Caenorhabditis elegans: one gene and its partner. The protein of the gene in region 2 purifies or fractionates together with the protein of the main gene of each other region. This does not show direct contact. Each region holds a gene or a part of one and is shown on either strand. Other genes may lie near its edges.

What was found.
Region 1: the proteins of spdl-1 (region 2) and rod-1 purify together in Caenorhabditis elegans (affinity purification with western blotting, with the first as the bait; one study listed by BioGRID). This does not show direct contact.

What each region holds. Positions count from the first base shown.
Region 1 is NC_003282.8:7,476,758-7,484,668, reverse strand, and holds the start of rod-1 (Kinetochore-associated protein rod-1), read right to left. Parts: upstream 6,218-7,911; 5' UTR 6,217-6,217; coding exon 6,120-6,216; intron 6,065-6,119; coding exon 5,912-6,064; intron 5,865-5,911; coding exon 5,569-5,864; intron 5,512-5,568; coding exon 5,119-5,511; intron 5,076-5,118; coding exon 4,407-5,075; intron 4,356-4,406; coding exon 4,155-4,355; intron 4,107-4,154; coding exon 2,805-4,106; intron 2,758-2,804; coding exon 2,509-2,757; intron 2,465-2,508; coding exon 1,963-2,464; intron 1,920-1,962; coding exon 1,505-1,919; intron 1,460-1,504; coding exon 1,279-1,459; intron 1,231-1,278; coding exon 1,069-1,230; intron 1,023-1,068; coding exon 750-1,022; intron 698-749; coding exon 1-697. Other genes in the region: pycr-4 (Putative pyrroline-5-carboxylate reductase 4), read left to right, coding at 7,380-7,488, 7,547-7,800, 7,869-7,911. UniProt on the Caenorhabditis elegans protein: Essential component of the mitotic checkpoint, which prevents cells from prematurely exiting mitosis. Required for chromosome segregation, the assembly of the dynein-dynactin and mdf-1-mdf-2 complexes onto kinetochores and spindle pole separation.
Region 2 is NC_003280.10:7,779,583-7,783,882, forward strand, and holds spdl-1 (Spindly-like protein spdl-1), read left to right. Parts: upstream 1-1,983; 5' UTR 1,984-2,004; coding exon 2,005-2,040; intron 2,041-2,088; coding exon 2,089-2,331; intron 2,332-2,377; coding exon 2,378-2,701; intron 2,702-2,749; coding exon 2,750-3,382; intron 3,383-3,427; coding exon 3,428-3,631; 3' UTR 3,632-3,769; downstream 3,770-4,300. Other genes in the region: snpc-1.1 (snRNA-activating protein complex subunit 1), read right to left, coding at 1-9, 63-347, 394-475, 537-855, 900-1,109, 1,155-1,223, 1,269-1,346, 1,397-1,481 and 1 more; skr-17 (Skp1-related protein), read left to right, coding at 4,296-4,300. UniProt on the Caenorhabditis elegans protein: Transient kinetochore component required for chromosome and spindle pole alignment and chromosome segregation during mitosis.

The DNA of each region.
Region 1 (7,911 bases), on a different chromosome or scaffold from region 2:
TAGTCTGCGTATCCTCAACCCACGAGAAGACAAGCTGTTCATGCAAAGCAGTCAAATCGAGTCCATTAGCCTTTGCAATTTTATCCACCACTTGACACTTTTTGAGAACATCTCTAGAATCATCCCACTGGACCATTTCATTGTAAATTAATGAACATAGTTCAGATACATTTTCAATGTTATCCGCAGTTTTTTCATTGTACAGTCCATTCTTTTTCAGTTCAAGTTCGGTAGAAAACTTTGCGATTCCGTCTTTCAATCGAGCACTTTGTTCTTCCATTTCCTGTTGTTCTTCACCAGTTAAATCAGAAGTCCATCTCTCCGAAATATTGACTCCCATTTGAAGAAGTTCAATTTTAACATCACTGAGAATGATTCTTTTGAATAGAAGAGCGATCGTCGAAACCACAACATGACGTTGAGACGCAGAATTAAGAAGTTCATAAATCACGTTTCGTTCTCCATCTGGTAGACTCTTTCCAAACTTTGCATATTTGTTGGCGTGAGCAAAAATTGCAGATGACAAAAGTTGCGAACGCGAAAACCGTGAGGATAGCCAAGAAACTTCACGGAGGAATGTTTGCCAGATTGGAACATTGAAGATCGATAATTCTGCTTTCACAATTCCCATCACAATTTCGTCAATTTCCTCTTTTTTGCGAAGAAGGAATGCATGGAATGGAAGATATTGCTCCGCCTAAAATTAAAGAATATTTTGATTTCAATTAAATGATTGCCAGTCGACATACAAGGCTTGGCAGATCACTGATAATCACACTGTTCCTCTCATAAACCATGGCATCACTTGAAAGTGCCAAATCCGAATTATACGAATCTGACATATTGCTTCCGTCATCTTCATAGACAACACGAAGTGAATGTCCAAATGGATCGAGCATTCTTCCAGTTTTCTCAAACTCTTTCTCATCTTTCATTAGAACACTCTCTCGCTTCGTAAACCAAATTGATTCCTCATTACTGATATGATTTGTACGTTGATAAGCCCATAAGAATGCCATTATCTGAATCATTGATGAATTGAATTTTATTTTTTAAATATTGGCTCACCGATTTCAAGTTTTTATTAAATTCAATCTCGACTGTTTCAGTGGCATACTTTCCATACGAAGTTACAATAAATTGGATGACTTCGTAGTTATATGGACACACAACGTAAAGCAAACAATGGAGATAATTACAAATGCAAGAAGCATCTTCTTCCTCGGCAATCTGAAAAGAAAACAGATTTTCAAAAGATTATCACTCAACAACTATTACTCTCAACGCGATTCTAGCTGCTTCGATGTACTTCTCTATTTCTTCTTTGCGAATTTCCCGATCAGTGTGTCGTCCAGCAACAGACGCTTTTCGAATGAGAAGAGTCGCATATCGAACCATGTATTCTCCAACTGAAATCTTCGAGTTCCGAATCAACTTTTCGACATACTTCTTGACATAACTGAAATATTCAAAATTATTTTTTCTATTATTTTATGAAACTCACTCATGAAGACGCAATGGAGAGAGTGGCTGTCGCAGATCTATCGCCTGTTGTAGAACTTTATCGACAAAGTCTTGAGTAATTGAGACACGAATGCCTTCTTCAGCAAGCTTCTTCACCAAATACTTTTGTTCATAAGCAGAAACGATTGTGGGAACTTTTTCCATATTTCTAGCCAACAAACTCATCACAAAAGCTAATTGAAGATACTGGATTGTCGCTTTCGTCGAACTTCTCACACCTTGTCGTTTCTGGAGATCGATTATAGCTCTGTCTAATCGTTCCAACGGGATTCCACCAAGAAGAGTAACTGCATGCCAGAAATCGAATTTTTTCTGTTGCAGCATTCTTTCGACGACTGACAGAATGGGTTGCTCCATTTCAACGATTCCTTGTAGATATTCACCAGCCCAACATTCTGAAATGAAAAATAAAAAATTGAAAATGGAAATAAATCTTACTGAGAGATCCGGCAAACACACGAGCTGAAATATCCAGAAGATCTTGTGAATGCATTGCAAGGAACATGTTTAGTTGCTCCCAACTTGATCTGAATTCATTCGCATCATCTGGTGAGATCTCAGAATCATATGGCCTGGCAACAGAAGGTGCAACCATCGCAAGAGCAAGAACTCCTTGAACTCCTTCAAATAAAGCTGGATCGTTGGAGAAATCAAATGTTCCCAGTGGGCGTTTGAACTCAAAAATGCGGAGAGATGACTGATTGGAAAATGGATTCGAAGAATCAGTTGGTAAGAATGTATCATCGTCTGATCTGAACATTTCTTGCTTTTCATTTTCATTCTCTTGGCCTCGTAGTGACTGCTTGATAATGTGCTCTCCCAAGTGATAAAATGCTTCCAATTGTAGAAGATAATCAAGATCGTCGCTAATAACATCAAAAGAGAAGCGTCTGAGTGTCTCCCGAACAACACGGCCGATACGTTTGACAACGAAAGCAATCTGAAAATCAATTATTTTTATAGTTTGCAGAAACCATCACTTACATAGTCAGCACGTGCCATCTCAGTCTCATTTGGTAGTAACTTCGGAAGTCTGAATGTAATCCAGCTCAGAATTTGCACGATAGGTTCAAGCATTTCCCGAGAAGAATCCGTCAATGAATTTATGAACTCGACATAATTCGTGATACTATCAACAATTGTGTCCATGTCGTTTTCTACCGTAGCTTTCGTTAAAATCATTTCAATGAGATGTTCCGGTGAAATTCCCATGTAGCTACATCTTCCAAGATTCTGAAATTAATAATAAAAATATTCCGTTCATATTAAATAAAAATTACCAAGCTCATCGACGAATTTGATTCGATCAATCTTTCCAAGAACCGTCGCTGCCAATCTTCATCTTTCAATTCAGACAAAAGAACTGCTTTAGTCTCAGTTTTCTGGACTTCGCGAAGAAGGACAAGCTCATCCTTTAAACGTCTTTCAGGATCATTGAAATTATTATCACGACATGTATAGTGAGACATCAGCTCTTCACCAACCCCGAGGATCTTTTCGCGTTCCAAGACGTTGTCTCCAGTTGCTGGTGCATTGGCAACGCATTCGATGAATGAAAATACAAGAGATATTGTCTTTACTCGTTCACGATCGCCAAGACTATCAATGTAATTGATAATTGAAATGGTTACATCTTGATGAGACATCATATGAATAATTGCAAATGATTGCACATATTCAATTCTCAATGTACGAGGTTGAGAGCTTCCTTGCATTGCTTTGAGCAAATCCACCAACTTGATCACATCCACAAATCGAGAAGCCTTTTCACGATGAGCAAGCATGCAGCGAATTGTCAAGATAATGTCCATATTTGAGTCAGGAGTAGTCAGCAGTTCGATGTCCTGTCGACTGAAGCCATACGACGATAACATCTTGTAGAGTTCGGTACGTTTACAAACCAAATGCATTTGTTCAATTTCTGATCTCAGGAGTGTACGACTTGCAAGGATCTTCTCCACAGCTTCATTCAGTTCAGCTGGCCATGGAATCTTAGCAGTTGAAGCGATCGAGATGATGGAGCAACAACGTCGAGTTTCATCCATGAGACTTGCACATAACTGCACACATTGTTTCTCCCATCCAAAAAGATTTGCATTTGTCACTGCAGCTCCTGACATCATCTGGATATAATTGACGATTGTTTGTTCCTGATCAAGATGACGTTCAGCCATGAACGGCTTCACGAATTTCTCAATTTTGGCATGTGTCATGTTTGGGTTGGCCAACGCATTTTGAAGAATCTTGTGGCAAATTTGTTCAGATGACATATTTTGGAATACTGAGAAACTGATTGAACACTCGTAAACATCTTTCAGGCGTTTCAATTCAATCAAATCATAGTATATCTTCTTGATCCGTGACATTGACGAAGGCTTGTTACCGGCAGAAGATCCCAACTTGCTTCCATACATTACCAGAATACATTGTGTAGCTGGAGTATTTCCATTGTTCGACAATATTTTGGTCATGGTATCGTAACTGCTTGCTGCTTTGATTGCATTCTCAGGCCAATTTGTAGAATCTCGATATTCAAGAAGTGAAATAAGAGAAGTGATGAGTGATTCGAGGCATGGAATTAGCTGAAAAAGAAAGATTTAAACATAGTTAAATTTTAATTTAAAAATCACCTCTTCTGTAATCATGACACATGCTGGTAAAATGTCTGTCGTTACGTGTTCGATCACATTGCTCCATTTGCTGATATCAGAAGAAATCGCATCGATGAACATTCGGAAAAGTGTTTCAAGACGAGAAATGGTGTTCTCCTCATCATCACACATATAATCAGTTATAGATTTCCCATGGCGACTGAAGATAACACGGGCTTGCTGAAAAATTGTATGATTGAGTACAAAAAACTTCATAAGATTGAAACTGACAGTGAACTGGGCGTCAGAAATGAATTCATTATAGATTTCGATCCACGGGTTCGCATCATGCAAAGCTTCGACGAACAAATCCCAAATCGTTTCATTAACTTGTGGACGACTTGGTTCGTTTTCTTCTGGACCAGCAATGATTCGATAAGTTCCCCACGTGTAGCAAAGTGCCTCAATCATTTTCAGAATATCCAGATCCGTTATTCTGCGCTTCTTTGCATGAGTCAAGTAGGTGCGGATACGATCACAGCGCCGACTCATTCCAACAAGAGTGAAGTATGTTTCAGCAACCATATTATGATCTTGAATTTGTCCCATCTTCGTCATCAGAGTCTCAAAAGATTCATCGCTTTCATCACAAGAGTCCATCAGATAATGTACGTGTCCTTTGTAAACCTTTTGTACATCCAGCATGAATGCCATGGCGAACTTCTCAGCTTCTTCAAATCTGTTATTCTTCAGAAGAGATTCGAAACGCATTTCAGGGCGAGACTGTGAGACTTGTCTGACAACAATTTGACTGCCGTCCTGTTCGTCTGCCAGAGAATTTTCCAATTCTTCAACGGCTATCAAGACACGATCACTTCCTCCATAAGCAAAAAGAGTTGTAGACGTGGATGAATCCAAAGCGAAACAATTGTCTTTATTCAATCGATCGTATATCATCATCTAAAAAGAAATTATTAAAATTTAACAAATACGATTCAAATACCTTTGTGCTATCTCCGTCACGTGGCAGAACCAAAATTGCGAACATCTTCGGAACTTCAACTTCATTCTTGTCAATGATCACAAAATCAAGAATTTTGTCGTCTGGAGACATCTTCATGTCAAATTCGTGGCAGAAGGATGATACCAATGAATCAAAGACATGAATCCATCCATCCGTGTCGAGGTGAAGAGAGAATCTACCTCCATCACGGACTTGCAAGAATTGTTTTTCCATGCCAATCACCTCAAACTCCGATTCGACGAGACCACACCAGTGAATCCCTCTTTGCTGATCAATTGAAGCGAACGTCTGAAGTGGCCCATTGGAGATCAGAGTAATGTCACCTGCGACCTTCGACATGTCAACAGACTTTGAAACCGTTTTTCCCATTGCCTGAAAAGAGAGTATTAAAATTAATTTGAAACTTTAAATGAATGTGATGAGCGTTACCTGGTGGAAAAATTCCTGAATCTGATCTCTGTGCCAATTTTCGAAACGGTTAGTCTCCTTAGATGCAGCCACGTCTCCTGGCAATGTGATAGTATGCCAATTATCAGATCGGCTCCCGAAAATCAATTGGCAAACACTGGAAGTAGTGTGACAGACAACGAAGTCAATTTCATGAGGAGCTGGCTCGTTCAAGTAAATTTCTTGTTTATCCAGCGAGAGAATTACAATACGACGATGTTCAATGACTCCAACAAAGAAGGAAGAACTTCCAAGGATTTCGAAATCAGTGATGGCTCCTGAAAATGTTGAGAAATCATTCCAGAGACTCTGAAATAGCTCATACCTCCAAGTCCGGTGTTGAACGAGTAGTCGCTTTTCTCGCCAAGACTGAAGACTGCCAGATCGGAGCACGACGCAAGAACAAGAAATCGCTCGTTACTTTTCGGTTTGAGCTTCCATGCCGGAGATTTCTTATCGATTGACATCTCATTTAACACTGAAACATACATTTAATTACATTAATCATAAAGATAATAGTTTTATTTTCTTACGGGGAAGGATTCGCCCAACGGTGCACACATCATAAAGGCCCACAGTCGACGTTTCCGCTTCCAAGTCCACAGCTTTTGCTTCGCCTAGGCGACCCATTCTGCAAATACGACATTATAATACACTGGTATCTCTAATTAAAAAATTTAACAGAAGAACGATTATAAAAATGAGTGAACAATTTCATTTCAAAAAATGTTTTTCGCCGCCGAAATAAGTGTCAGCAGGGCGCAATTTCCAAGTGTTAGAGTGAGAGAAACAAGACTTTTTTGAACCAAATAGTTGAATTTTGAAGCAAAAAACCAATAACTAAACACGAAAAGCGTTTCAAATCTCATACATTTCCTTACCTTTAACTGTGTTGAACAAAAATTAAATAATGAAAAACAATTAACACATTCAGTAAAAATTGATCGAAACGTGGAAATTACGTGTTCCTAACTATACAGCTTTTTTAAACGTAATTTTAGACCGGAAAACTTCTTTAAATTCAGAAATTTCACTATATTTATCAAAAATAAATAGTCTGAAACGATTTATTAGGATGAGGCGAGAAAATAACTGAAAATTAAAATGATATCCAAAAGAATTAAGATTCGTGTAAATATAGAGAAATTCGCGCCTAAAATTTGCGCGGGCAGGCGAAAAAAGACCGTAGTTTTTCGTCCCAAAACCCATCTCCAATATTCAGCATGCGCCTTTAATATGTCTACCGTATCTGCTCAGATGTTTCAAGTTTTTATCATAAATAAAATAATTTTACATTTTTTAAAGAAATTTTGAAGTGTTTATTTTCTGTGTTTCACCTGTTCCTACTGTTTTGTTCGTGGTTTGAACGTTTTGAATTATTTTCCAGAGCAGGATGACAAAACTGAACCGATGACAAATATATTTTATTATCTATACGGCCTCTGGAATGATGACAAAATAATCATCTAGGTGACTTTCTGTGCCTTTCACGGTTTTAAGATACAAATTTTTATAGAATACTAGTTTTTCATGTCAATTTCGGTACTAAAATGATCCCAGCATGTACCATAATATATCTTATTGTAACTTTTATATAAATGGAGACTTAGACGTCTAGACGTCTAACAAGAGACATAAAATAGAACCCAGTTATATGTTAAACGCACAGAGACGCAGTTGAGAAACAGAATCTCGTTAAGCGGGCAAACCTCTGCTCATGTCTTCTTCTTTTTTTTTTAATATGTTGCTTTTTGTTGTGTCAAAAACAATTATTATTGATTTCAGTCAAAACCATGACTATCGATACTGAATTGACAAACGGGTCCTCAGAGTCTGTGCCATTCGTGTTCATCGGAGGTGGAAATATGGCCGCTGCAATTATAAAAGGATGCCAGAATAAAGGTGAGTTAAAAAATTGTTCTCCTCGTTGATTTGAATTAAATTGTTTTCTAATTTTTAGGCTTTACACCGAAAAGCAATATTGTAATTGGCGTTCAAACGGAAAAATCGGCTGAGAAATGGAGGCAACTAGGATATAAAAACGTTTTCACAAACACACTGGAAATGCTGGAAAGATATTCGACGGCAATCTATGTGATTTGTGTGAAACCTCAAGTTTTCGAAGAAGTTGTGTCAAGCTGGCCTGTAAACTCAAGACCAGAATTTATTATTTCTGTAATGGCTGGAGTTCCATTAAAAGTTCTCAACGCGAAGGTGATTACTATAAGCAGTTATAAAATAATTTTAGAAATCATAATTTGCTGTACATAACATTTTTCCAGTTGCCATTCGTTTCGGGAAACACTACCATTGTTCGTTTGATGC
Region 2 (4,300 bases):
GATTCGTCACTGAATAATTTAATAATTTTTAATTGAAGAAAAAAACAAAAATCTTCACTTACATTTGGGAAGCAGTTATCGGAGCAGAAGTTTGTGGGATTTGTTCTCGTTTCACTTCAACCAATTTCGCATTTGCACGTTTTGGTGCCCGAATTCTTGCAACTCCCGATGTTCCCTGCTTGCCTACTTTACCGCCCAATGAATCTTCAGGTATTTCAGGCTTTATTCTGGCAGCATACTCATTTCGTAGAACTTCTTCAGCCAATGCATTATCGTCTAATAACTCTTCAGGATTAACTGTTGTCGTTTTTCTGCGTCGCCGTTGTCTTACAGGGCGATCAATCGGGCTGTAAAAATAGGTTATTATTTTGGGGTTAAACTGTAATTGCTTACATTGGAACCTGAGCATCATTATCATCCAAACATTCCTGGGCGATGTCACCAAACGTTCTTGCGGTAAGATGTTTGAAGTTTTCTGCAAAAGTTGAACGCTGACTTTTGAAAAAAAAAAACATATTTTCGTGTAATAAATGTACCTTCCATGTTTGGATCAAGATGCCTTCTTTGTCTAGTGTGTTTTAGTCCTTCAGCATATGCTTTACTTCTCAAAGTTGATCTGCTTGAACCAGCTGTTTCCTCTGGAGCGCTACTAATTTCTGGATTTGTTGGAGAACTTTCGAACTGTTCTTTATATTTTTCGACAATGCCCTTGATTTCGTGTAATGGTGATTTGAGCCCCGTTAGAGTATCACTTAGTCCAAGTTTTTGCTTAGCCTCTGTGTAAACTCCGTGAATAAATGATAATTCCGTCATAATATCAGAACTGAGCATTTTCGTAACACTGGAAAACGGCTCCTGAAACTGTTTATGAAAAAATTCCAATAATTTAACTTACTTACAACTGGAATTTTGTTAAAATAGGGCAACTCTTCCTCGGCAAGGTATTTTTTGTGGGTTGCCGGATCATATGTCGACTGAAACACTTTAATTCTAAACGCTTTCTTCAGAATAAGCATTTTGAGAGCCGCAATTGGTTCAAGAAGTTTTTCGACTTCTAAAGATTTTTGAAATTCGAGAAGCTCTTCGAATTGTACCGCAGTGACCGGAATCTGAATTAAATTTTTTAAAACTAAATTAAACTTAGAATTAATCACCTGACAGACATGATCAACTGGCTGCAAATTGTACAACGCATAGCAAACATAAACTCCGAATAGCCTCTCCTGAAAATATAACATTTCAGACTTATTTTTACTTCTATTTCAAACCTTGAATGCCCTGAATGCTCCAACTTCATTCACTTTTCCGAAATACATTGCTGCGTGTTGTAACAGGTATTCAGTAAACTGAAAGCCGGAATATTATAATAGACTAAATAAAATCAAAATAAAGCTACCTCTAAGCATTCGGCAGGATTTAATCGATAATGAAGAATGGTCTCAAAATGCATATCCCGAAAAACATCAGCAAAGTCTCGAATTCTTAATTAATCAAGATTTTCCATCAAATAATACATTTTCTAACTATACCTGTTGGATCCCATAGATATAAACTTGTTGCACAATAAATGAAGATCTTGTTTAACTCCAGTTCCCATAAATGGCGTGGGAATACCTCCAGAAGCCATTGCGACTCGTTTTTTCCTTGAATCTTCAGAAATAAATCCGAAAATAATTGACGAAAATAAAAACATGCAAGTGCGCTCTATCGTGAACAACCAATTCTCGGCGGGAACCAGCGGTATTCAACGCATTTCAAAATGAGTTGCGCCTCAATTTACCTAAAAATATTGTTTTTCAATCGTTTTGATATAATTTAGCTCAAAATATTCCCATAAAATTAGTTTAAATATATTCGCAATCAATTTTACGCTTTATTAAAACATCAAAAGCTATAGATCTGCGTGAAACGTTCTTATAAATCGTGTTGCCGTGAAAAATATTCTACTGATCGTTTTCTATCGAAACATTTTCATGTTTTCAGAAGAATCGAACTTCAATCAGTATGCCTGACGACGAGGAGAAGCTCCAATTACTTGCTGTAACGTTTTATCATTTCATCTATTACCAACTAAACCTAATATTTCAGGACGTTGAGAGGCTCAAGAAAATTCTCCGTCAAAAAGATGAAATGCTCGAGGAGATGGAAGACGATCTCAAAAATCAGGGAAAACCTTGTTCTTCCAAACTTTCACTCGAAGAACGTGCACAAGAATTGAGTGAACAACTTCGCGATCTTCATGTTGAGATGGACGGAAAAAACGCCACAATTCTTGATCGGGACGCTCTCATCGATTCACTGCGTAGTGAGATCGACAAACTCGAAAAAATTGTAGGTTTTCATCATTGTGGGCAACATTAATATATTGAATTCTCAGAATAAGGAGTTTGCCAACGGATCAGTGATTCCCGAACATGATGATTCCAATTCCTTCGGAGAATCTGAAATGCTTCGTATTAGCGAAGATTGTCAGAAATACAAAGAGACGGCGACTGCTCTTTACGAACGAAACGCCGAACTCGAAAAAGAAGCGGTCAACTTGAAAGATGAAATTGAGTCGATGATGGATCATATTCGGGACCTCAAAAATCATATGGAGACGCGTGATGAGGAAATTGCCAGATTGGAAGGAGAGCTTTTTGATGAGAGAAACTCCCATGAAGGAAAATTAGCGGCACGCGGAAATTCAATGTTTTCTGAGGTAGGTTAAAAAATATCAATTAACTGCATTTTTTTTAATATTCTTCAGGTTATTGATGCCGAGCGGAAGGTTGAAGAAGACCTGAAAGTTCTTCATGGAGAGAATCGAGCACTGAAAGGGATGGTAAAACGTCTTCGAATGGAAGTAGAAGAAGTCGAAGAAAGACTTCGGTCATCCACAAAAAGATTCAACGTTACCCGAATGACCACAAGTGATATTGATGTCAAAGAGATGCGTCGTCTCAGAGACAGAGTTTGTCACCTGGAAACGGAAAGGGTTCATTTGTGGGAAAGAATGTTCATTAAAATGAGGTCAATTCCAAAACGCGAAGTGGGAGCGTTGATTACCGGCTACTTCAAGTCGTTCGAATTGTCAATTGCGAGCGTGAAAGGAGGTTTTGACGGTTTGATGAAGGACAACGAAAAGTACGTGACAATTATTCGTGGATTGCAACAGGAAGTAGAAAATCTCAAAGCGGACATTGTGCAACTACAATTCGACAATAAATGTGCTCACAGAAAAGCTGCACCAGTTGTCAATAAGGATTTCGAGCACCCGCTTCTTGCTGCTCCTCTGAAAACTCTTAACAATGGACGACCATCATTCTTCATTAAACCGAAAAACGTGGAACCCATGCCTCAATTAGGGCATTCATTATCCAGTATTGCCGTTACGCCACAGGTAGATAAAAGTGCAACTTTTCACTATAAATAATTATTTTTCCAGAAACCAGCAGCTAAATTCACCACTCGTTCCTCCATCAAAGATGATACTTCAGAATGGGCAGAACGTCGTATGAAAGCTCAAGCTGAAAAGAAATTGGCGACTCCGACGCCGCGTTACAACTATATCAAACTGTCCGAGCCCGTTCCAAAATTCAAACCGGCTGTTCTTCAAATGCCATCAACCTCAGAAACAAAGGAAAACTGAGTAAACATCATGTTCGTAGTCATCTCGTATTCATATAAAACCGCCTGTATTGATCTCGTCCCCTCTATTCACCAAGTTTTGTCGATTATTCTACAATGTTTCCTATTTAATGCATGTCAAATAAAATTATTTTTATTATAACGCTCATTCTTAGATTGTTGATGTTCAAGAACTTGATAGAGCCGCTGGCGGGAGTGCAGTGGAGCGCGAAACCCTATCGATATTACACGATCACTTATTGATTTATATATTTTTAATATTTATTATTGTAAATATGGGGTAGAATATAGAAAAATATTTTCCAGATTTTCTCTTCCCTACAATCTTCGGAGATCTCGTATGGATATGCTTTCGATATAGGTTCAGTTCTTACTACTAGTAACATTTGAGAGAGCTTAAAATTTAAAAATTGTAAACCGTTCGAATTTGTTCTGGTGTGGGGTTCGCATGATATTGATCGTTTTTAATATTTACGATGATTTTTTGTGTTGTGCGAGGGTGTTTTAAAATTTGAATTTGCCGCCGAATGAAGTAGAACAAGAACGCAAATGCGCTCTGTGGCGAATGGTGTTCGACAAAAAGTTTTTAAGATCATTTTCTCAGCAAAATTTCGTTTCCTTTCTAATTTTTCCATTTCAGACATCACATTTCGTCCGGAAAGCAGATGCC